7 linked regions of the Macaca fascicularis genome follow. The protein of the gene in region 1 interacts with the protein of each later gene in a pairwise test. Links are inferred from orthologs where the notes say so. Each region holds a gene or a part of one and is shown in the gene's direction. Other genes may lie near its edges.

Region 1 (4,067 bases):
CCTCCTGCCCTGGGTGCAGACCGCAAACAGCGCCGCCGAAGTTCCCAACAGGCAGGGAGAGGGCCGATCCGGGTTGGCACACCACGTCCCCGGGGTCTCAGTCCCTGGGTCAACGCAGAGGGGCTCGCGGTCCGCGGCGCTGCGACCTGAGCCCCGGCCACGTGAAGCGTCACGCCCTGCGCTGCTGCAGGGCAGGCGCCGCCGCCGCGGTTGTGTAACGCTGCAGCCGGAGGGGAGGCGACCCGGGCGCCTCTGCTCTGGAGGGGGCAGAGGAGGGAGGGAACACCGGGCACCGTGCCCGGTATCTTTCTGTGCTTGACTGGCCGGGAGGAAGGGGGTGACACTGGGGCACCCAGGGGGCTGCGCAACCAGGTGCCCGCCCGCCCGCAGGCTGTGCCCGGGAGCGGAGCTCCTGGGGAGCGAGGGGCCCTCGGCTCACACCCTCCTCGGTCAGGTGCGCGCGGCGTGCTCGGCGGCAGCCTCAGCTGCCCCTGCGCTTGGCTGTCTGCCCGCTTCCCATGGGGTGACATCCGCCCCGCCCCTCGGTCCCTCCCCAAGGCGGGCAATTCCTGGACGCGAGGGTGAGCAGTGGGGGCAGGGAAGCCAGGACGGAAAGAAACCCCAGCCTCTGGGGAAGGCTGGGGGGCCGGGCGACTCCCTCCGCTGAGCGCCGGTTCCTCCAAGCGGGCCGGGCGGGGGAGGAGGAAGAGGGCTGGGCTGGAGCTAGCAAGGGGATATTCCTCTCCCGGCTTGAGTCAGACGCGGGCGGATCCGTCCTCCCCCGTTCCCTCCCAGGAGACGGGAACTTACTTCATTTCCCTGGGGCAGGTTCGCCCACGTTACCAACTCTCCCCCTCCCCCAGCAGCCCCGTCCCTTTCAGCTTCCGCGCCCCCCACCCAACTGGGCAGGACCCAGGTTGCGCTGCCACCCCCTCTTCGGGGAAAGGCGGCCGCAGCCGCAGACACCTGGGGGCCGGGGCTGGGGGTGGGGGCTCCCTAGCAGCCGCCGGAGCGTTGTCCAACACGTGAGACTCATGTGATGAAGCCGGGGGAGGGCGGGCAGGTCGCTCCTTCCCTCCCCGGCAGTGGCCAGACGTGCCTGGAGTCACAGGGTAGAACACGTAGCTCCAACCCACCCACTCGCTCCCATTTAACCCAGCCCGCAGCCTCTCCATTACTCCTCGGCTTGTGCCCCCACCCCCCCTACTCCGCCCTAACCGCCCCCCCCCACCCGCTCCCTCCCGCCTCCCCGCCCGCCCCACTTCTCATTCACTTGGCTCGCACGGCGCAGACCGCGCAGGGAGCACACACCGCCAGTCTGTGCGCTGAGTTGGAGCCAGAGGCCGCGGGGACACCGGGCCATGCACGCCCCCAACTGAAGCTGCATCTCAAAGCCGAAGATTCCAGCAGCCCAGGGGATTTCAAAGAGCTCAGACTCAGAGGAACATCTGCGGAGAGACCCCCGAAGCCCGCTCCAGGACAGTCCTCATCCAGACGCTCCGCTAGAGCAGACAGGAGCGCGCAGTGGCCCCGGCTCGCCGCACCATGGAGCGGATCCCCAGCGCGCAACCACCCCCCGCCTGCCTGCCCAAAGCACCGGGACTGGAGCACGGAGACCTACCAGGGTAAGTTGGCACTCCTTGGCCCTTCAAGCCTCAACTCCAGCCCCATGTTATGCGCCACTCTCAACTTGGAGCAGCTCCGGGCGCACCGGGGGGTTCTTGCCCGGCAGAACGCCTGCAGCCGTGCGCAAGCAGTCACGACCCTTCCTGGTCTCTCTTCCTGCAGGATGGATTTTGCCCACATGTACCAAGTGTACAAGTCAAGACGGGGAATAAAGCGGAGCGAGGACAGCAAGGTAAGCAAGTGCACCCCTGGGGACCCTGCGCTCAGCCCCTCGCGCGCGCTGAGTTTCCAAGAAAAGTTTTCTCGCTTTGAGGTTGGCGAGGGTATGCAGGGTGTGGGCTCGGTGCCTCTTCTGAGTGACTTGGAAAAGAAGGGGCAGATGATGGTTCTGGGTGCTATTCTGCTCCTCTGCCGGACTCGTGCTGCGGGGCTGGGAGGATAGGCTTCTCATCTCCTTTCCCAAGCGCCCACCGCCTCCCCGTGCGTCTTGCAGGAGACCTACAAATTGCCGCACCGGCTCATCGAGAAAAAGAGACGTGACCGGATTAACGAGTGCATCGCCCAGCTGAAGGATCTCCTACCAGAACATCTCAAACTTACAGTAAGTGAGAAGCTGGCCCCTTTCCAACCCAGTCCTTTGCCCAGAGGGCGGGCGGGGGTCACTCGCCGCCTGCAGGTTCCGCGGGGAACTGCAGACCAGACGGGCGGATCAGAGCTGGCGGGTGGCTCTGTGGTGTGGTCCTCCTCCACAGTCCTTGCGTTTTCTGGCTGACTCATGCAAATGAGGCGAGAACCGCTTGGACCTCTCCAAGTTGGCTACAACACCAACTGGCCTTCCTTTTCAAGAGTTTAACTTCTGGTGATTTTCAGGATTCCCTAGTTTTTCTAACTTAAAGGAACACGCCAAGCAACACACACATTTACCCCTTTCCCTCCACCACTCCCCCCACCTTTTTTTTTGTTGTTAAATAAGTGGACTTGCTTTGGTGTGTGATTTTTACGGCCTGTCCTTTCTTGACAGTAGCCCTCAGCTACTTGGCAGCCTTTGGTTGGGGAAATGGAAAAAAAAAAAAAGTATTTTGGGAGGAACAAAAAAGCCTGAATGAGCTGGAAGTTCTGAAAGGGTGTAAGGAAAGAAGTAGGGAAAGCCTATTGGCTGCCAGACATAATAGAGGTCCCTCTCTGAGTTGACACCCCTGCAGAAAAATGTTATCTCTGGATTCCCCTGAGTTAAGGTCAGCAGAGGCTGCTGGAGAAATTTATCTGTCAAAGCGTTTTCCTGAGGTAGTTGCAGCTTCCAAAATGCCTCCAAAGAGAGATGGCACCCTTTTTTAAATTATTTAATCATATATATTTTATATATATGTGTGTTAGAACAGCCAACGAAGAAAGACTATCCACTTTTTTTTTTTTCTTTTAGAGACATTTCTCTTTGCTAAGAAATATCCCAAAGGTGGGACTTCTTTGACCTCACCGCTGACTAAGGCTCTTTTCCTTCTAGACTTTGGGTCACTTGGAAAAAGCAGTGGTTCTTGAACTTACCTTGAAGCATGTGAAAGCACTAACAAACCTAATTGATCAGCAGCAGCAGAAAATCATTGCCCTGCAGAGCGGTTTACAAGCTGGTGAGTGCTGATTCTGGCTCTCCTCTTTTTAAGAGTTTGAGCACAAATAGAGAGCCTGTGGGCTCAACATCTGATGGAATAAACATTACTGCAACAAACTGCTTATGCACCTTCATTGGGGGAGATGCAGTTTTATCTTTCCTAAAAGGTCAGACTTTTCATTTGAAATGCAGTGTGCCACCTGGCATGAATACGTATTAGTGAAATGATAAGATATTCCTGTGGCATTTTAGCTTGAGAGTCTCTGGGTTCTGGGAGATTTCCCTACTCCCTTTTAAAATGCCAAGGCACCTATAATTTGCCTTGTGGGTGTTTTACAGTTGGTCTTCTTAGCCCTCTTTCATTGGAGAAGAAATCGTGGGTATGCCCCAGTGTTTTCCTGTTTCTTTGCTTCCTTGTCACTTGGTGTGTGGTGTGATCCTGGCAGGATACAGCAGGAGTTTTTCCTGCATTTCATGTGGTTCCCTGAATAGCCACTAGGTATCATGGTAAATTGCACAATCTAGCGAAACCACTGAAGTTTCATCATTCGTTTCAACAGACTTCCAGATAATCGGAGTCACCTAACCTTCTAGTCTCACTTCTTCCAAATAATACTGTACTGACTGGGGAGAATTATTCTACCCACTCCCTCATTTCATTCTCTGCCTTCCTCTCCAAGGCTCGTATGATGAAAATTGCAAAAACCCAGCAAATGCTTCTGCCAGTTTCCTCATTAAAAATAGGAAGATGGTCATACCTAATGTCTTGAGGATCATGGATAGAATATGTGGAAAAGATATAGAAATAGAGAGCCTAATTAAAGATAACAGCATG
Region 2 (4,244 bases), on another chromosome or scaffold:
CCACATTTTCTTTATCCATTCATCCATTCTAGTGTCTTTGTTTTTGACTTATGGGTTTCTGGAAGAGACTGATGAGAAAATATATTTTCCATTAACCCAAGAGAAAAAGTGATCCTGAATGCTGGAATTTTTAAGGATGGTTTAGGTTCTAGAGACTAAAAGAGAAATCATAGAAAATGCAAAGGGAAATTAGATTTAAAAAAATTAGTGACCACATAAAGAATGTCTGCTATTATATCTTCTCTGAGCACGAGAAACTACTAAACTACTTTTAACCGAGCAATAAGGGCCCATAATAAAAAGCTGTTACCCTAGTTTTTTACTACCCTACTCAATACCCCTTCTTTCATACCCTCAAAATAGCTCAGTTGAGAAAAGAAACAGTCCAATTTTACAGAAGGGAAAAATAAATAGATAAAAGGATAAGCAAGAACTCTTTTTAACACGGAGTAAGGTACTGGTTAGAATTTTAATACTGTATGGAGGCGTCTAACCCCAGAGTAATCCCTGGCCCATTTTGGTGTTAGTAAGTGGATCCCAGTGTTCGTTTGTATTGAGGTAGTTTGAAGCACGCTAGGGATATTCATAGCCTTTACTTCAGTGCATTATTATGAAAGAATCTAAAGTATCTTTGCATTTACATGATTATGTTTTCAGTTGGTCTGCGGAGCTATTATTAAATGTGTCCATAATGTGTACAGAAAAATCTTCAAGTAAACTAGCATTTAACTCACCAACACATTAAACCCCCATACATAACTTCCTTTAAAAACGATCACACTAAAAATCCCAGCATTTAAAATCCTGAAGTTTTCGCTAAAATACGCTAAATATAGCTCGAAATAGTAAATAATCCCCCCAAGGCGACATTAGCAAATTAATTGGTGTGCGAACAAAGAACCCTTTCTGCAGCGGCATGAATGTTGCCTTTATTTTTTCTCACAAGTATGATTTTAGAAAACAGCAGTAGCGCATGTTGACAAATGACAAAGCGGCAGTCGTGGTAAAGCACTTTCGGTCAAAGCCAAGAGGGGGGAAAATCGGGTTGCTGGGGCGGCACTCGTGCTGGAATCCCTAGCTTCCCTAACCTCCTTTTTCCAGTCCGGAGTGAGCGGGGGCCCCATCGCCCCACCCCCCTTTCCTGGCTCTGGTTACGGCCTTGCGAGTTGAACAAACTTGCTGCAGGCGGATTGGCGGTCGGGAGCTCTCGGGCTGGGGCGTTGTATTTATTAATTTATATTCCGCGGCGCCCCGCGCGGGCCACTCCTTTGTGTCCGGCCGCCGCCGCGGGAGCTCCGGGGCCTCGGCGGGGAGCGCGTTCCCTGTGTCCGCCCGACCCCCGGGGCCGGCACGTGCTTCGCCCGGTCCGCCGAGGGGGCGGAGGCCCCGATCTCCCCGACCCCCCTTCTCTGCCTAGAGGAGGAGGAGCAGCGGCAGCAGCAGCAGCAGGAGGCGATAGCTGCCAGCCGAGGAGGCGCGGCGGAGAGGGGACTGCGGTCAGCTGCGTCCACTCGGGGCTGCGCGGCAGTCCCGCGCCCGGCGATGTTCCCGGGCAGTCTCTGAGTAGCAGCAGCTTGCCCCCCGCCCGCTAGCCCACCCTGGTGTCCGGCTCGCTTGCTGGCTGGCGCGGCCCCGGCCCCGCTCTGCGTCGGCCCCGCCGCGGTGGAGGCGCGCGAGAGGGACGCGGCCGGGGATGAGCGGATTGCGGGTGAACTCGCCGCCCGGGGGCCCCGCGAGGCCGTAAGCCGCTGCTTTTCTCCGAGTCGCCGCCCTGCCCTTGGATTTGAGATCATGTACGTACGCGCCGCCGTCCTGCCATTGTCTCTCTCCAGCGCGTGCCGTGCGCCCCAGGGACGGGGGCTGGTGCCCATCCTAGCCGCGCGCTGTCCCCCGCACTTCCTGTTCCGAAGAGAGACCCGCGCGCTGACCGTGCTTCCCTTCTCCCCTCGCCCCCTCTCTGTCCGTGCAGGTCCATCCACATCGTGGCGCTGGGGAACGAGGGGGACGCGTTCCACCAGGACAACCGGCCGTCGGGTCTCATCCGCACTTACCTGGGGAGAAGCCCTCTGGTCTCGGGGGACGAGAGCAGCTTGTTGCTGAACGCGGCCAGCACGGTCGCGCGTCCAGTGTTCACCGAGTATCAGGCCAGTGCGTTTGGGAATGTCAAACTGGTGGTCCACGACTGTCCCGTCTGGGTAAGGAACAGCAGCTGCTCCACGCCAAGGCTGAAGAAGCTTTTCTTTCCTTTTTTGCCCCCTCCCCCTTCTGCCCACTTCCGTGAGTGTGGAGTGTTCGCGTTACATGGGTCAAATTTTCAAACATTTTTGAGAAAATATTCGGTCCTTTGTTTCACTGGGCAGGGCACAGCCCCGTCAGAGAAGACTCTTAGGAAGATAGAAGGCCCCAGTGGGAATGTGGAGCACTTACTGGTACACTTCACGACTGTGGGTTGTCCCTTGGGAGGCAGCTGACAGTTGAATGTGCCAACTCCAAGGGACGGGGTCACTAAGTTTCACCAGCAGAAAGCAGTGTTTTTTTATGCCTACCCTATGGGTGATAGTGTAATATTGGTGTTCTAAAAATATAGCCTTCTCAAAGCTCAACACAGGCAAAAATACTTTTCATTGGGACAGTTCAGAAATAGTTCCTCTGGAAAGCGGAGGAAAAGACAGGGACTGGGAGTTAATTTTAAATGACTCATTTATAGCACTATTAATTGATCTCTGAAAACTTTTAATTTTAATAATGCAAATACTCTTTATGTATTAGCCATTTGTCTTAGTGACTCATAAATCAGAAATAATATTACTAATGTTGCTTGGAAAACTTAAAAAATTAAAATTTGTAATAATTGAACAAAATTGTAGTGAAGTGGATAAATTGTAGCCCGATTCTTGAGTGTTTGATTAAGGGAGAAAGGAATTTACTTTCTGACACATATAAGTATTTTCAGTATACAATAACATTATGTTTGAATGTTTTCCTTTGGTCTTATTTGAAAATCTCTGACTCTTTACTGATATTGGAGTTACGTATGTTTCAGCTAAGTTTACATTTAATAACAGAAGAAAGTTTAGTGCCTGAAAAAATACGAATTGTCATTGTGTGAGATTTCACATTTAAACAGCAATTTTAAAAACTGAATCAGGGCTATAGGAAACTATCATGCCTTTCTAAAAAATGTGTAGAGTGTACTTGGAAAAATTTTTTATGCAAAATTCCATGTAACAGAAAGAAGATCACTCGCTTGTGTAAGTTTTCAGTTAAAGAAGAAAGTTTGTTAATTTGGTAAAATAAAAAACAGACCTTTTCAGTTAAGAGATGCTATTAAACCCCTAGTTATGACAGTGATGACGCTGGTCATAAGAAGTGTGATGGAGAGCTTACTGACCAGAGTCTATGCAGGCAAATGAAACACTTCTTTTACTTGGACTCTTTCGTCGTGAAAGATCTTACAGCCTAAAAACATAACGGTTCAACATGCAGTTGAACAAATGTTTGGTGAATAGAGTAAACGTAGGGAAAATAAAATTAGCTACATTAGGATGTTAGGATTGCTTTCCCTATATTTAATTTGAGCTGTTAACACTTTCCTGTTTATATTGTTAATTTTGCAAACAGCAATGCTTGTGATCCCATACACTTTGTCTAGTAAAATGAAATCTTCCAAATGGAGAAAATAAGCCTCTATGGTACGGATTTTTCCCATATGCTGGTTGTTATGGTTTATTTTGCTAATCACTTTTTGTTTGGTTAGACTCTGGCCCTATTTAAGGCACCAAGTTTGTAACCCGGTACAATTTGCTGGGCTATAATGATCTTCAGATATGAGATTCCATTTCTAGAGTTGCTCTTTATAAGGTGCTTTTCTTCACTTGGTGGTAAGTAAAGCCCATCAGAGATACTAAAGCTGATTGCATTAATAAACTGTTATTTGATATATTACGGAATCAGAATATTACATAGAGCAGATAAAGCACAGCCTTTGATATCAAAAGGATCTGATTTCAGATTCTCACATTGCCATTTCAGGTCTGCGTGTCCTTGTTAAATCACTTACCTTCTCAGCCTTATTTTCCCTATCTATAAAATAATCTGCCTCCTAGAGCTGTGCTGAGAAGTGAATGAGAAACTAGCACGCATCACGTTCTAAGTATAGAGGCTGACATTTAGTAGCTGCTCTATAAGTGGTAGCTAATATAAAAATAAAGTGTTTGTTATAACTTTAGTATAGTTATGTATCA
Region 3 (4,155 bases), on another chromosome or scaffold:
AGCTCCTCCATTGGCCAGGGCTGTGCATCTCCTTGGAGGTCTTGAGCTCCACATAGCAGGTGGGGGGCTGTGTGGATGGGGTCTGGGGGTCTGTGCAGTCTACCTCCCCTGAGAAGAGCAGAGGGTGGCTTCCCAGGCGGCTGCGTAGCACAGAGCAGAAGGCCACGTTGGTGTTAACCTCCCCAGAGGGGTCTGGGGAGCTTCCAGGTTTGTCTGCACAAGGAGAGAAGCAGCAGCAGGGGTGGGGGGCTCTCAATCTCTGGGAAGGGGAAGGGGGCTATGAAGCAGGGGTAACTCACCTGCACACATATACTGCTCAAATTTGTATCCCATGTACATAAGCTCCCGGAGGAGCGGTGGCCGAGCAAGCCTCTGGGCCCGGGCTTTTGGCGTCTCCACCTCACTCAGGTATAGTGTTCCCTGGAACCGAGAGGCTGCCAGCTGCCAACCCTCCTGCCGCTCATACGGTGTCGTCAGCAATTTTGTCAGGTGCCCCCGCCATGTCACTATGGCCTCTGCCAGCCAGCCTGGACCCCTGAGAGGCAGGAGTTACAGGCTGAAGGTCTGACACAAGCATTAGTGAGATGCTCCCCTCGAAGAATAGTCTTTCTTCTAAGGACTGATTCTCACCCCGGCTGTGGCTCTCCTAATTTTAGAGGGTAGGTACGGGTCTCCAGATACACTGCCTGCCACGCTTTGCTCACCCCTCCAATCGGCCTCGGTGTTCCAGGAGCCAGCATAGCAGGTGGTCCAGCCTTTCTTGGACCTCCTCGTCCCGGGGCTGGTATCGATCCGGGTATCCGTCTCTGAGGTCAAAGTTGGGGCCTGGACCGTTAGTGGGGGGTGGGCTATAGTAGCGCAGGGCTCGGGCATCTCCATGGTACTGGCGTTGAGCATCCAGGGAGAAGCAGCCCAGTTCCGAAGGGCGCCGGTAGAAAGGAAAGGGCCCAGAGTAGAGGGCAGGGTCTGTGGGCAGAGAAGGTGCTGGACGGGGTAGTTTGTTCCGAGGCTCAGCTACCTCTGTCTTCTCAGCTCCTCTCTTGGTCCCCCTGGGATCCATGAGGTCCTAAGGGAAGCAGGCGGACAGAGTTTCCATTTTACAGAGGAGGCCTGGAGAAGGATGACTGGTTTAGGACTAAGCGAGCCACCTGATCGCCAGGTTCTGGCCTTGAAACATTCAGGCCCCTCAGACGCCACCGCGGCCAAGCTCTCATCCTGCCTTTTTGCTTGCCCTTCACCCACCCTCCCTCCAGGTCCTCCAAATGCAGTGAGGTTAGGAGGGACGCCTGCGCTCAGATCAAGAATCCAGTTACCTCAAAGCTCCCCAACTTCCACCTCCGCAGGGCTATGACGTCATGGCAGGCACACCAGAGGCCGAAGGATGCAAAAGTGGTTTTTCTGCTTTCGATGATGCAATCATTCAGCGACAGTGGCGGGCAAACCCCTCCCGGGGCCGGGGAGGTGTGAGCTTTACGAAGGAGGCTGATCCCAACGTGGCCACCGGCGCCCCTCCACGCCGCCCACGAGTCCCCAGGCGTGCGTGCCCTTGGAGGGAGCCAATCCGCGGTCGGCGTGAGGCCCGGCCCGGCGGACGTGGTGCGGGTATCTGCGTCGCCACCGCCCTTCCCAACACTGACTGGCCTGAGGGATGACAAGTTGACGCCCTTTTCGTCATCACCTGGTCTAGGAGGGACGCCCGGGGAGACCGTACGTCACTGTTCTGCGCCGGAAGACCCTATTTTCAGGTTCTCTTCCCTCCATTCCTACCTCTTCCCCGGTACCATAAAATCCCGGGATATGAGCCGAAAAAGGCATCACCTGGTCCCGGAGACCTTTGGAGTTAAGAGGCGGCGGAAGCGAGGGCTTGTGGAGTCGGATCCTCCTCGTGGCGAGCCAGGTAACCATGGCAACCCCGGGGCGGGGCTAAAGACCCCAGCTGGGTGGGGCCTCGCTTCCGGTAGCCGAGAGTTTTGTTGGAACCGCGTCCCCGCCCCAGTTCCCTGTCTCTGACCCGGTTTCTCGGTCCAGGGTCGGCGCGCGCGGCTGTCTCAGAGCTCATGCAGCTGTTCCCGCGAGGTCTGTTTGAGGACGCTCTGCCGCCCATCGTGCTGAGGAGCCAGGTGTACAGCCTCGTGCCTGACAGGACCGTGGCCGACCGGCAGCTGGTGAGGGGCGTCGGTGCGACCGCCGGAGGCCCCTTTCCTGACTCCTAAAATTTCCTGTCCCTCAGTCACTCCGCCAGCTGTTCAGCAAGCATTAGGCCTTTCAGGGGAGGGCACTGTTCCGGGCACTGGGGTGCCACAGAGACCCTGTTAAATGGGTCGCAGGCAGTACAGGGCATTTCAACCATGGAGGGAGAAGAACGAGGCTTTTGGGGAAACCGAGTCATGGGGCATGGTTCGAACATAGAGCACTGGGAGTGCAGACAGACGTCAGATCATGACAGGCCTTGTACATCAGTGTTGTTTCCATCTTACACTGAGGCGATGGGCTGGTAGAGAATGTCATAGAGAGAGGGAATGGTGTATTGGAGGTAGTGGATGAGGCAGGGAGGTCAGCTAAGAAGACACTGCATCTGAGAAGTGGTGAAGGCCTAAATTAGGTCAGTGCAGTACGGAGGGAGAGGAGAGTGAGAAAGGGAGGAGTCCAGGAAAACTCAGACTTTCCGGATGACTGCGTGGCTGGTGGTATTAGGAGCACATTTAGTTGTTGGACTACGGATAATGTGTTTAATTTTGTACAAGTTGAGTTGATGGTGCATGTGGAGCATCCAAAGACAAACGTATTAGACAAGTGGATATTAGAGTTGGAGAGAATTCTGGCCAGTGATAATAGAATTACAAGTCATGGAGGTGTGAATAGCAAGTGGTTAATTCTGTGGATGTGGTGAGATCCAGTAGGAAGAGTGGGTAGAGGAGTGATTTCTAACCTTTTTATAATCTTTAGAAGGTGATAAAAGTTATGGCTATTTCTCTCCAGAAAAATGCACGTATGCCACATATACATAGGATGTATGTACAGTTGGGGGGAAATACTTCACTAATCTTCTGAGGTCCATGGTTAAGGACTCCAAGTTTAGAGTGGAAGTTGATAGGGTCAAATCCACAATGCTGGGAAACACTGTCATTTAAGGCAGTGTTACTGAATGTATGAGCTGAGTTATGCCTGTGTCAAAATTACATGGGCTGTTTATTTAAAAAATACAGGTTCCTGGGACTCATCCAAAGTTAATGAGTTACAATCTCTTGGGGTGGGATTTGGGACTCTACACTTTTGAACTGCCTCAAGTCCTTTTTAAGTGTGCCTTAAAATTTGAGATCCACTGACATAAAGGGAAAGCAGAAGAAGAGGAATCTGTGGCAGAGGCAGAGAAGGAATTGCCTGAGTTAAGAGGAACCCAGAGGCCGGGGCGGTGGCTCACGCCCGTAATCCCAGCACTTTGGGAGGCCGAGGTGAGTGGATCTCTTGAGCTCATGAGTTTGAGACCAGCATAGGCAACATGACAAAACCCCATCTCTACAAAAAAAATACAAAAATTAGCCAGGCATGGTGGTACGCACCTGGGGAGGCTGAGGTGGGAGGATTGCTTCAGCTGGGGAGGTGAGCTGAGATAGCACCACTGCACCCCAGCCTGGGTGATAGAGCTAGACCTTGTCTCAAAAAAAAAAAAAAAAAAAAAAAAGGTAACCCAGGAAGAGGCCTATTGTAAAAGTAAAGAGATTTTTGAGAAAGTGAAGTAGTTGGCAGTATTAGAACCTGTGATTCAAGACAGTGGTCTAAGAAGAGGGAAGAGGTAAAGTAAAATATAAACTGAAATCTAGGCTGAGTGTGGTGGCTCATGCCTGTAATCCCACCACTTTGGGAGACTGAGGCAGGAGTATAGCTTGAAACCAAAAGTTTGAGACCAGTCTGGGCAACAAAGTGAGACCCCGTCTTTACTAAATAACTGAGACCCCATCTCTACTAAATAAATAAAATAAATTGAAACACAAAAATTCTTAGCTGGGCATGGTGGTATGCACCTGTTGTTCTAGCTGTTTAGAAAGTTGAGGCAGAAGGATTGCTTGAGCCCAAGAATTTGAGGCTGCAGTGAGCTATGATTGCACGACTGCACTTTAGCCTGGGTGACAGAGTGAGACCCTGTCTCTAAAAAAA
Region 4 (4,219 bases), about 26 Mb from region 1:
TCTCCGGAACCTTCCCTGCAGGTCTGTCAGATAAAACCCTTAGAATTACTGAGAAAGCACCTTCGGAGGGAAGCTTCTCAGTGACTCTGCAGTGAAGGCCGTATCAGTGACAGTCCCTCCCAAGCCTGTCTCACTGGAGACGCCTCTGCCTCCAGGGTTTTTGCTACCTCCCCGCTCCTCAGCCCTGAGCTGAGGGCAAGGACAGTGAGGACCCTGGCCAAAGAACGGGCTTTAAGGAATGGGACCTAATGTCTACTGCAGACCCTGTGAAATGGCTGAAACGATCTGCTACCCGAAGCCCCAAAGGCTCTGAGTAGGGAACCATAATGGCCGCACTCACTTCCAACCCTGGGAAAGGTGGACATCTCAAACCCCAAGGAGCGGGAACGACCACACTTGGGGGAGCGGGGGTTAAAGAGAAAGGAGCTCCTTGCCGGTGCAGGGTGACAGCGGGGAGGAAGCCTCAGGCAGGGAGGTCGCCGTTCACACTCTCCCTTCTCTCCCCTCTGCCTCCTTCCACCCCCTCTATCCCCACCACTCGCCAGTTACCGGCCGCCGCTCACCTGCTGGGGCGCGAGGTGCAGAGACCGTACCGACCGAGGACCGAGAGGCTCTGTCACCACGGGGGGAAGTCCTCAGCTGCACAGGGTTGGGAGGGGCGGGCCCAACCAGTCACGTGACGTCGAGCTCCGCCCTGCCTCCCCCATCCCGGCGCGCTACATCTCGGGGGGCTTGTATTTTTACGTATCCCTTGAATATTAATCTTCTTGAATTAAAGAAATAAAAGATAAATTTTCACAAGGACTATGTTGTAAAGTACAATGTGGAAAATGTGGACAGCAAGAGTTAGAGCGCATTGCTAAGGAAGTGACGTTCACGCCACGATCGAGGGACAGGAAATGGCGGTGGGGTTCCGTCCCTCTGGAGTTCGCCGGTAAAATTCCAGGTTCTGAGGTTTGGGCCAATCACGTGATCTCAAAACTTGAGGCGTGCTGGAGGGTAGCCAATCTATCCGGCCGATTGTTAACCACGTTTGCTTTAAAACACCTAACTTACTTGAGCTTTACACAGATTTCTTTACATTTGGAAGAACCAGCTTTATAAAACTCTACTAGGAGGCAAGTGCGTTTGAAGGTCACTCTGGAGACCACAAACCGGGAAGAACAGGGCCGAGAAAACCAATCTTGCGGATATGAGATAGAAGAGGGAGGGGTGGAAAAATCTGGATTTTACCGCCAGGGCTTACCGAGCCAGCCCCACAAGCAGTGTCGTAAGGGGGTGGGAAGGAGGAGCATGACGCCAGAAGGCACAGTCCGGGAGAAAGATGGACGTTCCGGAGTGGAGGGGGCAGGGTGCGCGGAGGCTGGCAGTACGACTGCGCGCGAGGCGGCTGACGCGCCGGCGCGCGAGGGGCGGGGTGAAAGGTCACAGCGCGGCAGCGGGTCTGGCTGGCGGCAGCGGCGGGAGGGAGCTGAGAGACCCGAGTGCACGTGTGGAGTAGCGGCAGCACCAGCACGGCGGCGGGAGACACTCCCGCCCCCACCAGACTCAAGCCCTCACTCGACTCTCGCGGCCTTCGTTGCTCGCCCAGCTCCCTGCCCAGGCTAGGAGGCCGGCTTGCGGGGTTGAGTGGCCCGAGCTGAGGGCGCGGAGACCTGAGGGCGGCGACTACGACGGCGTTGATATCGGTGGTAACGACGGCCTCAGCAGGCGGGGAAGATGAAAGGGTGAGGAAGGGCAGCCGGGCAGGGCCCGGCCGGCGGGGTAGAAGGGCCCGGGCCCATGTAGAGGGGGAGAGCTGCGAAGGCGAGGAGAGATTCAGGGCGAAGACCGGCGGAGGGAGATTTCTCGCCTTCTCAGTTTCCTCGGTTCCCGGAGGGGGCGGAGGCGAGGCTTGGGCTGTTGGCGGGCTGAAGGGCCAGCGGAGGCAAGACCCGGTGGCTTCAGGGTTTCGGTTCGGAGGACGATTGTGGGTTGAGTGGAGAGAAGCAGCTGAGTGGGGCAACATGGAAAGGCTATTATGAGGCGCCCGGGGCCTCCTTCCCGGGAGCGGACCTCTGAGCCACGCCGGCCCGCCGCTCCAGGTGGAGTGGTTTGGTTGTCTTCCACCTCCAGACTCCACTCTGGAACTGCGGTGTTTGACACCTTTCAGTTTTATTCACGCTTGGGAGCTGTGCAGAACCTTCTGGAGGAAGAAGAAATTGGAATAAAGAGCACGGGGATGAATATTAAGAGCTAGTGACTCAACTAGATTTGGGTTGGGTCACAGCGAGTGGAGGAGGGGGAGAGAGCGCGATCGCTGTAGACTTGGGGTGCCAACATGTTTAAGGAAGTATAGGGTGGATCAGTAGGTGGAGCTATTGCTTCAGTGGTTCACTATTGCCCCTGAGTGCTGATGCGGTCCTGGGTAGTTTTACCACGCTGCTCCTTTCAGGTGATTGGCAAAGTTAATGTTCGGTCTGTCATCGTTTGCCTCTTAGGTAAAATCAGGAATTATTTTGGACCGACTGTTTAAATTTTTATGAAATGTCTCCTTACCATTAAGTTGTATAGTTTTAATATATTAATTACATAACATTTTTCCGAAGCATTGCATCAGTAAGCCGTTTTGGAACTTGTCTTTACCCTCAAAGAAATGAAGCTCGTAAACGTGAAAAGCTCTCTGCGATGCCGTAGTTTGTTGTTTCTGTAAATCGATTAAGAAATCGTAACTATGTTTTAAGTTAACGAAGTCATTCCAACTATTCAACAGCCCTTTTGAGGATGAAATAAAAGTCACTTTCATCGTAATCTTATACATCCCCAAACAAGGACCTAAATAATATCTCTCTGTATCGGTGTTTGAGGTTCCTGAAGAGATTCAAAGAAAGTTTAATTTGGTCTTAGGTCTGTAACATGTTTCCTTACTCTTAATTTTCCTTTAAATACTGTATATTTATTCTAATGTTGAGTTGTATGTTTTGTATTAAGAATCTTTAAAGTTTAAGAACCGTGAACTATTCACAATACCTGCATTGTTTCACATCAAGTTCTAAAGAGTTCCAGTTGGGGAAATAAAATTGACGGGTATAAGAAGTATTTGCCCCACTGGAATCATGATCTGGGAAGTTCGGCTATTTCAGATGACAATCCAACATATTTGGAGAATGTTGTTTTTCTGCTATACTGCACTTCTTTTTCTTCTCTTCTTTTTTTTTTTTTTTTAAATGAGACAGGGTCTCGCTCTGTTGCCCAGGCCGGAGTGCAGTGGCACGACCTCGGTCCACTGCAACCTCTGCCTCCCAAGCTCAAGCAGTCCCCGCTCCTTAGCCTCCCGAGTTGTTGGGACCACAGGCGCGTGCCACCACGCCTGGCTAATTTTTGAATATTTTGTAGAGACGGGGGTCTGACTGTGTTGGCCAGGCTGGTCTCAAACTCCTGCTCAAGTGATCCACCTACGTCTGCCTCCCAAAGTGCTGGGATTACAGGCGTGAGCCACCAAGGGTGGTATATACTGCACTTCTTGAGCATAGCTGCTGACTCTTACTCATTTTTGTACTCATTGTCAGGCACTCAATACTTATTTGTCATGTTCTGTTAAGAAAAACGAGGCTGAAGAGTTCCCAGTGTTGAAATTGCCATGGATTTACAAAGGGGGATGCCAGGAAATTATTCTGTATGTTTCGATCCAAAATCTTCAATCTAGTTCAGACTCTATAGGGTGTGATGTTCTTTCTGATACCTAACTTGGCGATAGAAATGGAGCTGAACAGTCATATTATTCACAATCTACCTTTAATTAGTATATTCATGGAGCAATTATCTCTGTTTAAAATGGATATTTACATGTAACCTGATGAAGGCAGATCCCTAGAAATGGGTAACTGGCCGAATTTAGAGGAAACTTAAAATTATTGAATCTGTACCTTTATGCCAGTAACTATGCCTGTGAAGTTCTTAATACTTCTTATGATTGGGAGCTTAGAATTTTATTCTTTACTGTAAACCTTTAAGATGATTTCACAGGAATAATCCCTTTAACTTAACAAATGAACTCTCAGGTGAGATGAAACTTTTTAATTTTTTTTACTTCTAAGTCTGTATTTAAGACACTCAACAAATGAGTTGTGTGAACCTTGTGTTTGGATACCGAACCTACAACAGTATAGGTTTAAAATAAGTTAAGCGCCTTCAGTTCCAAAACTTGTACCACCGTGCACAGTGTGGTCAGTTTTATAGT
Region 5 (4,193 bases), on another chromosome or scaffold:
CGGTAATCCCAGCACTTTGAGAAGCTGAGGCAGGAGAATTGCTTGAGCCCAAGAGTTCAAGACCAGCCTAGGTAACAAAGCAAGACCCCGTCTCTACAAAAAATAAAAAAAGATTAGCTGGACATGGTGGTGTGCTTCTGTAGTCCAGCTACTCAAAAGACTGAGGCAGGAGGATCACTTGAGCTTAGGAGTTTGAGGTTATAGTGAACTATTATCATGCCACTGCACTCCAGCCTGGATAACAGAGTGAAATCCCGTCTAAAAAAAAAAAGGAACTACAAAGGTGAACTAGAGATCATTTTGAACTAAATTAGAATCAATACACAAAAATATCAAAATACAAAATATAAAGATTGGTGGGATGCAGGTAAAGCAGTGCTTAGTGGGAAACGTGAGTCAAATTGTTGAAATAAATTGTAAAAATACCAGCAAAACTAAGGACCTTACTGCTAGTTTCCTTCTTTGCTCTGACCACATTTTGGTCATTTATTCATTTAACAAGCATTGATAAACACATATTTTATGCCAGGCTCTTAAGTGTTTAAATGCCATTTTTAGCTCTAGGCTGTGGGATCCTAGTATAATGTCTCTGGGTGTAGCATAGTATTTGGGACATGGTAGGTGTTCAGTATATACTTGTGGAATGACTAAAAATAGCCACAAGAGATCGTCCCCTGTGGTGAGAATTGTGGTGCAGATTTGGGGGCCAGGAGAACTTTCTGGAGGTAGTGGCAATAAATAATTCAATTCTAAACTTGTTCTGAAGGTATTTAACCAGAGTACGGATTTTTATTACTGAAACATTTTTTTCAGTTTTCATTTTCTTCTTTTTCTTGGGGAGTATGTAAAATAATGCAAGAGTGCTTTCTAAATAAGTCCACCTCTATTCTTTGGACATTGGAATATGGTATGTAACTCTGGATACGATTTCAAAGCAAAAATGATTTAGATTTAAGATGTTTTAAAAAAGCTTGAAATTGAAGTACACCGCTAATACAAATGAACTTTTTAAAAGTGGTGTGCCAGAAAACAGTAAATCAGTTTGGAAAATATGTAACTGTAGACGTCCAAGACAGAGAAAATGAGGCCTGAGTTAAGGGATTAAGATGAACGGAGATATTCCTAAGGCGAATCAACAAGGAGAGGTGGCGAATTGTACATGAAGGATTTGGCAGAGATACTGCGGTTCCTGGCACGACTAGAATTAGGATTTGTAAAAAGTTAGTGATTCTCTCTCCCAGCCGGTTTACATCACAATGTATGTGTTCATCTATTGAGGGAGTCAATGAGATAGAGCATTGCAGAGCTTGCTAGAGAGGCACAGGAAGTTGCCTGAAGTGAAGGAGGGGGCGGCGGCTGCAGAAGCTAAAGCTTCCGCCAAACAAAAGAGGACAGCACTTCCGGTCACGCCATCGTCGCTGCCTTCTTCGTCAAGGTGAGTGTAAAGAAGGGGACTTGGTAATTCTCACAAATAAATCCCCATACACTCCAGGGAAACCTCCTTTTGTGCCTCAACGTGGGGTGGAAAGGAGAATTCATCCCCGCGAACGTTGTATGATGGATGCTTCTGGCGCCTGTGGTTCTGATCTCACCGTCTCCTCCCTTCTCCTCAGGAGATGGGGAGCCCGCACCTGCCCCACCTCCTGACTCTTGTGGTCCTTTTATCCGCTTGACTCCCGGTCATGCTTCACCTCTCCTCTTTATCCCGGATCCTCTTCTCTGATCTGAGCCAGGGTCATTCCCTCTACCACAGGTCACTTCTACCTCCTACCTCTCACCTCCGCCTTCTGCCCCCCATCCTTTTAACCTGCGACTCTTTGCAAGCCCTTTCCTACACTGCTTTACTCCCCCTGCTGGCCTTTGGTCTTTCCTATTCCCCTCCCGCAGAGACCAATAAATTACGTACTTTGCAACAGTAGGTGTGACTTCAAGGTCAAGGCTTTTTTTTTTTTTTTTTTTTTTTGGTTCTTTTAAAGTATAAGCAAAGAAGCAGAAACCTTAGAGCCCTAAGAGACATAGGTACTTGTCCAAATTATGTTTTTTTATTTTTTTAACTCAACAAAATTACACATCATTTAGATACTATTGCACAGATTTCAGTCTTCTACATATTGCATTTATTTTTTTCTGTTGCTATAGAATTGAATCCTCAAATTCTGGGGGGCAGACATAGTGGATTATACCTATAACCTGGTGTCAGCTTCAGCGTAAGCTTTCCTATCCCCTGTAAAACTTCTCTTAGTGGAGGAATCACAAATTTATTACTTTATATGAGTTGAGTTTATTATGCAGTTTCTTTTCTGGTCTCTGATAGCAACATTAAACAGCAAGCTGACGTTTTTCAGACAAAGACTTTTTCTCAGAGCTTTGCAAGTATTACATAATCTATTTATTGCAATGTGAAATGTACTTTTACATTTGTGACCATGTCAAATTTATCTTGTGAGAACATTAGTTATTAAATAATAATCACAACTTATTATTGCCTTTACCAAATGATCATTAAATTGATGGTGAGAATCAGTGTTTTCCAGGCTCTATCAGGATCTAACGAAGAATTTAACCAAAGTTCTCTTTGAACAAGCAGTTGACTCCTTCCTGTGTGTTATGCTTGCCAAAATAAGGGGTGATTATCTTTTCTAGGCCATGTACAGTTTTTATTTAAGAATAAACAATGAGGCAGAGCTTTTGTGACACCACAACACTTAGGAACTTTTCCAAAGAGTATTGCTGATGTCTCTTTATACTCTATTTAAATCATTATTAGACAGCATTTAAATGTTATCATACTTGTTTCAGCCCACTGTGCATCCATCCATTCATTCAATAATTTTTTATTCAATAATTTTTATTTGCCAGACAGTGTTCTCAGCACTAAGGATACAACAGTGGATAACAAAAACAAAGTCTTTTAAACTTTAGCTGGGTGACAGACAATAACTTAATATATAATCAATATATATTGGCAAGTGCCACTGGTGTTAAATGAACAAAACAAAAAGATATGAAGAAATTAAAAAAAAAACAAAAAAAGATAAATATATAATAGGTTGTAATGTGGAGAGGCTCTGTTATTTTAGATAGGATGGGCAGGAAGGCTTCACTGGTAAGGTGATATTTGAGCAGGGACCTGAAGGAAGTGAGGGCACACAATATGCAGATATTAATGGGAAAACAAAATTTATGTCATAGTCTCTGCATTTGTTCACTCTGTTTCCTAACCCGCCCCCACTTTCCCATTCCCCTAGTGGTCACTTTTCTGCATAGTATTAATTCAATGCTCTGCATACTCAGATAACTTGATCCATTCACATACATTTCTCATATTCTCTTCTTTCTGGCTAGCTTCTTGCTACCATTTAGGCGACTTGTCAGCCTCTCTAGTAAGACATATCACTGTCTCCATACCCACCTCATCGTCAGTTTGTTGATTGCTGGCTCATTGTGTGCTAACCCATGGCATATATGATTATCTCTTTCGCTGCTCTTATCACTATGTGTTCATAATATGTTGTCCATAAATATTTGGTATGGTAAAGTGAAATGAACTCAGTACTTGTTTATAACAGATAAAACTTTTAAATATGGTTTTCTCCCTAATGTTCAAAACCATTCTCTAAGGTCAGTATTATCATTGTCATTTTACTGATGATAAAACCAAGACTAGGAGGTATGTAGTAACTTGCTAAACTGTGGTACAGTTTATGGAGTTAAGGTTTTTCAGACACTCAGTCCTGGTCTGGTTCTCTCTGTCTCTGTTTCTTAATGAGAAATAGAAAATATACAGAATATTTTATTATTTTATAAAACAATCTTGGTATAGAAGTTATATTTTTTGTGCTTCTTTTACAACTTAGATCATATCAGGTGCTTGATATGATATTAAGCTCTGAGAGGCATGGATAATGCCTCTTTTTACCAGAATATTTTTAAATAAAAAATTAAGCAGAAGTTGAAAGAAGAGTACAATGAAAACTTTTATATTCTGGACCTAGATTCAACAACTGTTAACCTTTGCCATATTATCTCACTCTCTCTATTACTCATTCTCTTTCTCCATCCATCCATCCATCCATCCATCCATCCGTCCATCGATTTATCCATCCATCCATCTATTTCTTGATCTATTTTGGCTGAACCATTTGACACTTGCAGACATTATTTTAAGTAAATGTAAATACATGCAGAAAAGT
Region 6 (3,500 bases), on another chromosome or scaffold:
GATGAAGAAAGTCCACACTCCGGTGTGGAAACTGAAAGAGATTGATCATAGAGGAAGGAGAAGAATGAGCAGAAAGTGGCATCACACAAAACATGGAAGAAGATATTCAAGGAGAGTTGTTAGGTCAAATAAAGTTGAAGGCAAATGGGTATATCTGGACTGTGCAGATCACTGGAGAATTGAGTCTATGAGCAAGTGGCTATGGAGGATGGATTACTGGACTTTTATCTACAACCCAAATGTTAATGCATTTATGATTCACAATGGGAAAGAACAGATAGATGCTATGAAGTAAAAGGATTTCTAGGTGAAACATGGCATCTTCAACATATAATCCATAGAGTGCTAAAGCATGTAAAGACTAAGATTTTGGCATTTAGCTCGTTGATAACTTTGGCAAGTAGAAGCCAGATTTAATAGTACGAAAGTGAGCAAAAGATAAAGGGGAATTTGATATTGAAAATAAAGAGGGTTACTGTTGAAGGGATAAAGTCAAAGGAAGGTGTGTGCATATATTCCAAATTATGCGGAAGCCAATCTGTTTGCCAGGAAAAGAGAAGGAAAGGTTGCATCAGTAGCTCTTCCCACTGCCTTTTTGAGGAATGTGGAGCAGCAACTTTTCTTTACTCCTGCCTGTGTAAGGATGGGCCTCCCAAGGTATTATTCTGAGGCCACACAGACCCCTCTCCATAATGAATAGACTCTTATCTCTTAGTATTATTAAGTCATTTCAGCACCACAGCTGTCTGCTTGACCATATAATTTCTTCAGAGAGGTTTGCATAAAAGAAGCCCTGGGTAGGAAAAGTTGTGCGTTGCATTGGATTCAGCCAGATGATTAGAGTTTGAGTGTTTGCCTAACACTTGCCCTAGGAACTTCACCCTGAGAGTGCCCTTCCTCACTGGGATATATAGTCCACCTGTGCTGCCTGCCTCACAGGGACCCGAGAAAATAGAATGGCACCATAAGTGAGACAACGTACCGTAAGGGGTGGTAGCATAAAATCTTACATAAAATCACAAGGTGATATTATTATATTGTTCCTGTAGGAAAACCACACATTGTTTTATCATTTTGATTTTGATGTTCATTACCTTTTTTTTCCAGAGACTTAATTGTTATCAAGCCAAAACCTAACTTTTTGGCTAGACCTGGATGTCACATTTAACAGTATTCAGTAAACTTTTGAGAAGATAGAAATAATTATGGTTTTAGCTGGGCATTGTGGCTCATGCCTATAATCCCAGCACTTTGGGTGGCTGAGGTGGGAGGATCACTTGAGGTCAGGCGTATAAAACTAGTCTGTGCAACAGAGCAAGACCCCCATTTCTACAAAATTTTAAAAGTAGTCAGGTGTGGTGGCTCACGCCTGTGGTCCTAGCTACTCAGGAGGCTGAGGTGGGAGGACCTCTTGAGCCCAGGAGTTTGAGGCTGCAGTGAGCTATGGTTGTACTACTGCACTCAAGCCTGGGCGATAATGAGACCCAATCTCAAAAAAGATTTATGATTTAAAATAGTGGAGGAAGAAAAAGTAAAATAATGGGAAATGGGGCTTCTGCTTTACTTTATACTGCACTGAAGCTGAAGGAGACTTAGTGATGTTTCTAAGGGGTATGAGGCATTATTTTACCAAAAGGGGTAACTAGCTCTTTTCCATCTCCAAAAGTAAACTCTTTTAAGAAATGTATTTAAACGGTAGTATGAGTGGTTGGTTAAATGGAAGAAAAAATATTTAGTCTACTAAAAAAAGTTTCTGGTAAACTTATGAAATACCATGGTGTAGGAGGTTGTAAAGCCTTTAGTTGGGGGTGTCAGTGACCTGTGGTGGAATTTTAAAGTAACATAAGATTTATCATTTTGCTGTGATTGAGACAGATTCATAAGGGAGGAGATAAAGCAAATGCCCTTTGAACCTATTACTACTTTGAAATGCATTTCGTTGACCATATGCTCTGTACTCTGCCGTGTTTTAATTTCCGGTGAAAGATTAGCATGTTTGTGTTTTCAGTTTTATTAAATTAGTTTCTCTCTTTTTTCCTTTCAGAGAGCATTAGGTAATCAAAAGTCCACAGTAGTTGAATTCAGCAATAAAGATGCCTCTGAAATTAACAGTGAGCAAGATAAAGAAAATTCCTTAATCAAAAGTGAACCAAGAAGAATTAAAATATTTGATGGAGGGCAAGTACAAATTTTACTTCTTAAATGTACATTTAAACTTACTTTTTAAATGTACATTTGCTTTCATGTGAATGAAGACTTAGCGCCAATTTAATATCAATGTTGCAAGGTTTCTTAGCATATTAACAGAATCTCCATAGCAAAATATGTTAGCATTATGTTAAATAATTTTATTTTGATGGAGAAATGATGACTATTTGGGAAGTACTATACAACCTTGAAGGCAGCTGAAAACTAAATTATTAGAGTGAACCTTGGTTTTCACATTGATTTACAATAAGGAATGACCTAGAGAATCTGCTCTCAGATGAATTCATTGCCCATTTGATATCTTTGTGTATTTCGTTGTGAGCAAAAACATCATAAAAGCCAATTATAGTTATAGTAAAGCTCCAAAATATTTCAGTACTTAAAAATTATTGTGATTGAATCTAGCAATGAAGAAAAAATTTAACCAATGACTTAGAAACAGGAAAGTATTTTAAAATTACATACAGTAGTGGAGTGCAGTGGTGTGCGCCTGTAGTCCCAGCTGTTCAGGAGGCTGAGGCGGGAGGATCATGTGTGCCCGGGAGGTTGAGGTTTCAGTGAGCTACGATTGCACCACTGTGCTCCAGCCTGGGCATCGGAGCAAGACTGTCTCTAAAAACAAAACAAAGTATAATATTGCAAAAGTTTGTTTGATTGGAATTAGCTGTATTAAGTATTGATGTAAAAAGTTGGAATATTCTGTTACTTACACATGCATAAAATTGTTATTGGTTGAGTATAAAAGTTGTGCCTTGTTTTATTTTTGGTTTTAATCATCATTATTTTCTTAAAGACATAGTGTCCAATCTCCCTATTCATTTTTTTTTCTTTAAATTAGATATAAGTCAAATGAAGAGTATGTATATGTCCGAGGCAGGGGAAGAGGAAAATACATTTGTGAAGAATGTGGAATACGTTGTAAGAAACCTAGCATGTTAAAGAAACACATACGAACCCATACAGATGTCCGCCCCTACCACTGCACTTACTGTAACTTCTCCTTTAAGACTAAAGGTATGAGATGCACATTGCTTCAAGGTCCTTTTTGTGTGTATTTAGGTGCTAGAGCTAAAACCCAACTATGCGTTTTCTTTGACCAACGAAATAGTAGCTTAAATAGACTAATGTAAATTACATTTTGTCAATGTTGTAGTCTTATTGCTTTATATAATTTTAGAACCATTGGAAAATTTTTAATTGTACACTTTTAGAATAAATATATAATTAATATTTTTAAAAGAGCAACTGCCCTTTTTAAAAAACTTAACTCCTTAAATTGCAGTTGTACAACA
Region 7 (3,935 bases), on another chromosome or scaffold:
GCTGTGTCCCAAACCGTGTGGGTAGGAACAGGAGCTTCCTCTGCGGGGGTTTGAAAGAGTGCACCTGTGAGGACACTGAAACCCAGCAGGAGAATCATGAAGACAGGAACCAGGAGTCTCATTGTGAGATGCAGTGAGTCCCACCAGCGCAGCAGTGCTGTGCATGTCAGGAGGTTTTGCCCCTCCCACTTCACTTGTTGGATGGCTCTGAGCAGGTTACTGAACCTGTCTGTGCCTCGGTTTCCTTCTCTATAACATATGGTTAATACTCATTTGACCGGGCTTCCGTGTGGATTAAAGGAGATACGTATCCAGGGCCCAGCACGTAGCAAGTGCTGTAAGCAGTGGCGCTCACAGGCTGCCAGGACAGGAAGGACCCTCAGAGGTCTGTCCCAAACTGTGGGTAGGAGCGAAAGCTTCCTCTGTGGGGGGTCAAAAGAGTGCACCTGTGAGACGCAACCTTCAGAACCCCCAGGAGCCTGAGATGGACAGGGGATCTGCACTGCTGGATGGGGCAGAGAGGCAGGCGCTGGCGCGGCAGGGGCCTGGGGGGTTGGGCAGGTGCCGGTGAGAGAAAAGCTAAGGGGCGCAGGATGGGGTGTGAGCTGGAGGGCAGGGGGTAGTCAGGGCTGACTGGGAGAGGGGCCTGCATCCCGAGGGAACGCCAGCACCAGGTGCCAAGGCCCGGGCAGCCATGGGAATGGGTGGAACCAAAGTCAATGGCAGTCAGAGAGCTTTGTAGTTGAGATGTTTGGTAGAGCAACCTCCTGAATATTTAAGTAAACTTGAAGTAGAACATACTTAAAGTGCACAAATTGGTAGCTTGAATTCCCACCCCCTCTCCCACATAAGAGGTGGGCTTGTCCAAGACTCCAAGGGACAGAAGGGGAAATCGCTGGTGCCCAGCCAGTCGGTGACAGAGCAGGGATTAGAGCTGGACCCCTGAGGCTAAGCCCCATGCTCTCTTCCCCAAACCCTGGGGCCTCAGTCAGCCTCTGGTAATCCCTTCTGTGCCCAGGGCACCAGAGCTGACGTTTCCCTTCAGCAAGGCAGGGGCAGAGGCTGCCAGAGCCCTGCTGGCGTCATCCTGCCTGGGATAGCTTGAGAGGTGGGGTGGGGGGGATTAGAAACCTCTGAGAACAGCACCACAGGCTGCCCTGGTAACATCTGCTACTACAGCCTTGTAGCCAGGAGTCCTGGATTTTCCTGGTTCCTGTGCCCGCGGACAGGTCCCCAGGGCCACTGGCTTTGTGGAGGGAACACGGTGCCCTCTCCACAGCCCAGGTAGGTGGAACCCCAGCTCCTGGCTCTCAGCCTTCAGGAACAGGAGCTTCCCTGCTTGGAGCTTCTAGACATGGAGGGAAACATGGAAGTCATGGAGTTTATTAAGTGTCTTGGAAGGTGGAGGGAGGGATGGCCTCCTCTAAGAACTGCAAATTTGCAGGGTGTCTTGGGAGACAAGAGTGCCCAGAGAGGCATGTCCGATGAGCTGGACGTGTGGGGCAGGGGGTATCCTATGCATCCTCCTTGCCTGTTCCTCCCCATCCCCCAGGCCCTCTGCAGCCCCCGGCTCCCTCTAACCTACCCACCCCCCACCACAAATCCTGCATATGTGTGGCCCAGTCTGAGGCCATCTGGATAGAAATAGAGGCTCCCTAAGGGGATTAAGGGGCTTTTTCTCTAGGACCAAGGGCTGAGACTACCTAAAAAGCTCTCCGCCACAGGATCTTGCACCCAGAAAACCAGAAGCCTCCCTCTGGGGAGGTAAGATAAACCACATGAATGGTGGTGTGGGGGACCCGGGGGCCCACCCACTGCACAGTTGCATTAGATGTGGTCAGTGGAGGGTCAGGAGTCCTGCCTCCCCGCTGTGGGCAGCAGGGTTGGGGTGCCCCAGGCTCCATGGAGCCCTGCTCATCCCTGCCACCATTTCTGGGGCTCAGAAGCACCCAGAAGGCACCTGAGACCAGTGTCTGCAGGTCTGCAAGGGGACAGACCTCCAGGGATCCTTCTGGCTGCGAGGGAAAGGTGGGGAGACAGTGCCAATGTTTGTAGTGCCTGGTAACAGCCTTGAAGACCAGGTACCCGGGGAATGTGCCCATTGATTTGGGGGCTGGCTCCACCCAGTTCCTGCTATAAAAGAGGCCAGATGCACAGTGTGGGGCCAGACTCCCTGGAGATGAGGATCAGACCCCTGCCCCTTGCTGTTCTCCAACAGGTGCTGGGAGGCCCTCCGTGGCTTAGGAGGCCACTTCCAAAGGTGGGGTGCCCCAGGGAGGCACCAGTGGCCAGGATGTCCACACAGAGCACCCACCCCCCGAAACCCGAGGCCCCGCGTCTGCCGCCTGCGATCTCAAGCTGTCAGCGGCGCCACACGCTCCCTGCCAGCGAGTTTCGCTGCCTCACCCCGGAGGACGCCGTCAGCGCCTTTGAGATCGAGCGTGAAGGTGAGTGGCCCCGCACAGGGTCAGAGGGAAGCTCCACTCCGGTCCAGTTATCCTGTGGGGAGGAGACCCTTGAGTCTCCTGTCTTGGAGGCTGGGTCCCAGAGTATCAGACCATGTGTGCGCTCAAGAAAGTGGAGGAAACAGCAGCCCTAAACCCCATTTTCTTGGGGGGAATGGGGCATTTGAGTAGACACTCGGGGTGCAGCAGACAGTGGACGTGAGGCACAGCGACTACCAGTTGCCCACCTGAGCCTCCTGCCACAGCCTTCATCTCCGTCTTGGGTGTCTGCCCCCTGTACCTGGATGAGATCCGGCACTTCCTGACCCTGTGTCCGGAGCTGTCCCTGGGCTGGTTCGAGGAGGGCTGTCTTGTGGCCTTCATCATCGGCTCACTCTGGGACAAGGACAGACTCATGCAGGTGAGGACGGGGCTGTGACGCCCAGCTCCAGGGAGGCCTCTGAAGACAGAGGTCAGCCAGACGGTGGGGAGGGGAGCCCAGGGGCTGGGATTTCTTCCTCCAGAACTGGAGAGATGAGTATAGGCCACAGCCCCCTCCCAGGGCAAGGCGTTCTGGGTTTTCAAGTTTTCTCCATGGGGATGGGGGTATGGCTCAAAATTTGGGGCCCTCCTCGGCTGGGGCGGGAGCCCTGACCACAGGCACCGAGGGGACACCTGCTCCCTGCCTGGGTCGGTGGCTGGGGAGGAGCACGCATCAGCAGAAGTGACCTGGGCTCTCGTCCCTTGCTCACCTCCAGGAGTCACTGACGATGCACAGGCCTGGGGGCCACATAGCCCACCTGCACGTGCTGGCCGTGCACTGCGCCTTCCGGCAGCAGGGCAGGGGCCCCATCCTGCTGTGGCGCTACCTGCACCACCTGGGCAGCCAGCCGGCTGTGCACCGGGCCGCGCTCATGTGCGAGGACGCGCTGGTACCCTTCTATGAGAGGTTCGGCTTCCACGCCATGGGCCCCTGCGCCATCACCGTGGGCTCCCTCAGCTTCACGGAGCTCCACTGCTCCCTGCAGGGCCACCCCTTCCGGCGCAGGAACAGCGGCTGCTGAACTGGGCTGCCCACCTGGCTGCCAACGTGATCCCCGTCTCTGCCCTGGGCCCCTTAGCTCAGCTGAGCATGGAGACAGCAGTTTCCAGAGTGGAGAGAGCAGGGCTAAATAAAGAGGAGATGGGGTGGCTTCTCACAGCCCGAGCTGGAGTGGTGTGTCCTGTCTGTTCCCACGAGGCCTCTGGACCTCCTGTGTTCTGAACTCTGTACCTGAGACTGGGCTGGGTTGGTAAGTGGGGACAATGGGAGGCGCTGTGGGTTCCCTGGCTCCTTTCCTCCTCCTGGCAGGTGGGCAAAGGCGCCAAGGCAGCATCCTGACAGGAGCCCATTGCTCAAGGGGGGTCCTTATTCTCCCCAGCCTCGTGGATGCCCTTTCTCACTCTTTTTTTTTTTTTTTTTTTGAGACGGAGTCTCGCTGTGTCCCCCAG

What was found.
Region 2: the proteins of BHLHE40 (region 1) and RHOBTB3 interact in binary tests that used the Homo sapiens proteins (3 or more experiments, as listed by UniProt). The two-hybrid records come from large-scale screens. The link is inferred for Macaca fascicularis from reciprocal best matches to the Homo sapiens genes BHLHE40 and RHOBTB3.
Region 3: the proteins of BHLHE40 (region 1) and WHR1 interact in a two-hybrid assay, tested with the Homo sapiens proteins (2 studies listed by BioGRID). The two-hybrid records come from large-scale screens. The link is inferred for Macaca fascicularis from reciprocal best matches to the Homo sapiens genes BHLHE40 and WHR1.
Region 4: the proteins of BHLHE40 (region 1) and NAA50 interact in binary tests that used the Homo sapiens proteins (3 or more experiments, as listed by UniProt). The two-hybrid records come from large-scale screens. The link is inferred for Macaca fascicularis from reciprocal best matches to the Homo sapiens genes BHLHE40 and NAA50.
Region 5: the proteins of BHLHE40 (region 1) and MAGED1 interact in binary tests that used the Homo sapiens proteins (3 or more experiments, as listed by UniProt). The two-hybrid records come from large-scale screens. The link is inferred for Macaca fascicularis from reciprocal best matches to the Homo sapiens genes BHLHE40 and MAGED1.
Region 6: the proteins of BHLHE40 (region 1) and HIVEP1 interact in a two-hybrid assay, tested with the Homo sapiens proteins (2 studies listed by BioGRID and IntAct). The link is inferred for Macaca fascicularis from reciprocal best matches to the Homo sapiens genes BHLHE40 and HIVEP1.
Region 7: the proteins of BHLHE40 (region 1) and AANAT interact in binary tests that used the Homo sapiens proteins (3 or more experiments, as listed by UniProt). The two-hybrid records come from large-scale screens. The link is inferred for Macaca fascicularis from reciprocal best matches to the Homo sapiens genes BHLHE40 and AANAT.

The regions. Positions count from the first base shown.
Region 1 is NC_088376.1:143,199,394-143,203,460, forward strand, and holds the start of BHLHE40 (class E basic helix-loop-helix protein 40), read left to right. Parts: upstream 1-1,267; 5' UTR 1,268-1,545; coding exon 1,546-1,625; intron 1,626-1,788; coding exon 1,789-1,858; intron 1,859-2,119; coding exon 2,120-2,227; intron 2,228-3,127; coding exon 3,128-3,251; intron 3,252-4,067. UniProt on the Homo sapiens protein: Transcriptional repressor involved in the regulation of the circadian rhythm by negatively regulating the activity of the clock genes and clock-controlled genes.
Region 2 is NC_088380.1:99,721,235-99,725,478, forward strand, and holds the start of RHOBTB3 (rho-related BTB domain-containing protein 3), read left to right. Parts: upstream 1-1,444; 5' UTR 1,445-1,791; coding exon 1,792-1,793; intron 1,794-1,969; coding exon 1,970-2,195; intron 2,196-4,244. UniProt on the Homo sapiens protein: Rab9-regulated ATPase required for endosome to Golgi transport. Involved in transport vesicle docking at the Golgi complex, possibly by participating in release M6PRBP1/TIP47 from vesicles to permit their efficient docking and fusion at the Golgi.
Region 3 is NC_088378.1:139,734,294-139,738,448, reverse strand, and holds the start of WHR1 (inactive serine/threonine-protein kinase 19), read left to right. Parts: upstream 1-1,355; coding exon 1,356-1,602; exon of another isoform or gene 1,603-1,634; intron 1,635-1,687; coding exon 1,688-1,897; intron 1,898-2,028; coding exon 2,029-2,165; intron 2,166-4,155. Other genes in the region: DXO (decapping and exoribonuclease protein), read right to left, coding at 1-213, 300-535, 705-1,060. UniProt on the Homo sapiens protein: DNA-binding protein which is required for efficient transcription-coupled nucleotide excision repair (TC-NER). Acts as part of a TC-NER complex which assembles and interacts with RNA polymerase II (RNAPII) when it stalls at DNA lesions.
Region 4 is NC_088376.1:169,422,714-169,426,932, forward strand, and holds the start of NAA50 (N-alpha-acetyltransferase 50), read left to right. Parts: upstream 1-1,419; 5' UTR 1,420-1,719; coding exon of another isoform or gene 1,720-1,727; intron 1,728-4,219. UniProt on the Homo sapiens protein: N-alpha-acetyltransferase that acetylates the N-terminus of proteins that retain their initiating methionine. Has a broad substrate specificity: able to acetylate the initiator methionine of most peptides, except for those with a proline in second position.
Region 5 is NC_088395.1:51,862,427-51,866,619, forward strand, and holds the start of MAGED1 (melanoma-associated antigen D1), read left to right. Parts: upstream 1-1,393; 5' UTR 1,394-1,435; intron 1,436-4,193. UniProt on the Homo sapiens protein: Involved in the apoptotic response after nerve growth factor (NGF) binding in neuronal cells. Inhibits cell cycle progression, and facilitates NGFR-mediated apoptosis. May act as a regulator of the function of DLX family members.
Region 6 is NC_088378.1:160,820,604-160,824,103, reverse strand, and holds part of HIVEP1 (zinc finger protein 40), read left to right. Parts: intron 1-2,044; coding exon 2,045-2,178; intron 2,179-3,046; coding exon 3,047-3,222; intron 3,223-3,500.
Region 7 is NC_088390.1:82,916,278-82,920,212, forward strand, and holds AANAT (serotonin N-acetyltransferase), read left to right. Parts: upstream 1-1,135; 5' UTR 1,136-1,284; intron 1,285-2,218; 5' UTR 2,219-2,293; coding exon 2,294-2,447; intron 2,448-2,710; coding exon 2,711-2,865; intron 2,866-3,202; coding exon 3,203-3,508; 3' UTR 3,509-3,646; downstream 3,647-3,935. UniProt on the Homo sapiens protein: Controls the night/day rhythm of melatonin production in the pineal gland. Catalyzes the N-acetylation of serotonin into N-acetylserotonin, the penultimate step in the synthesis of melatonin.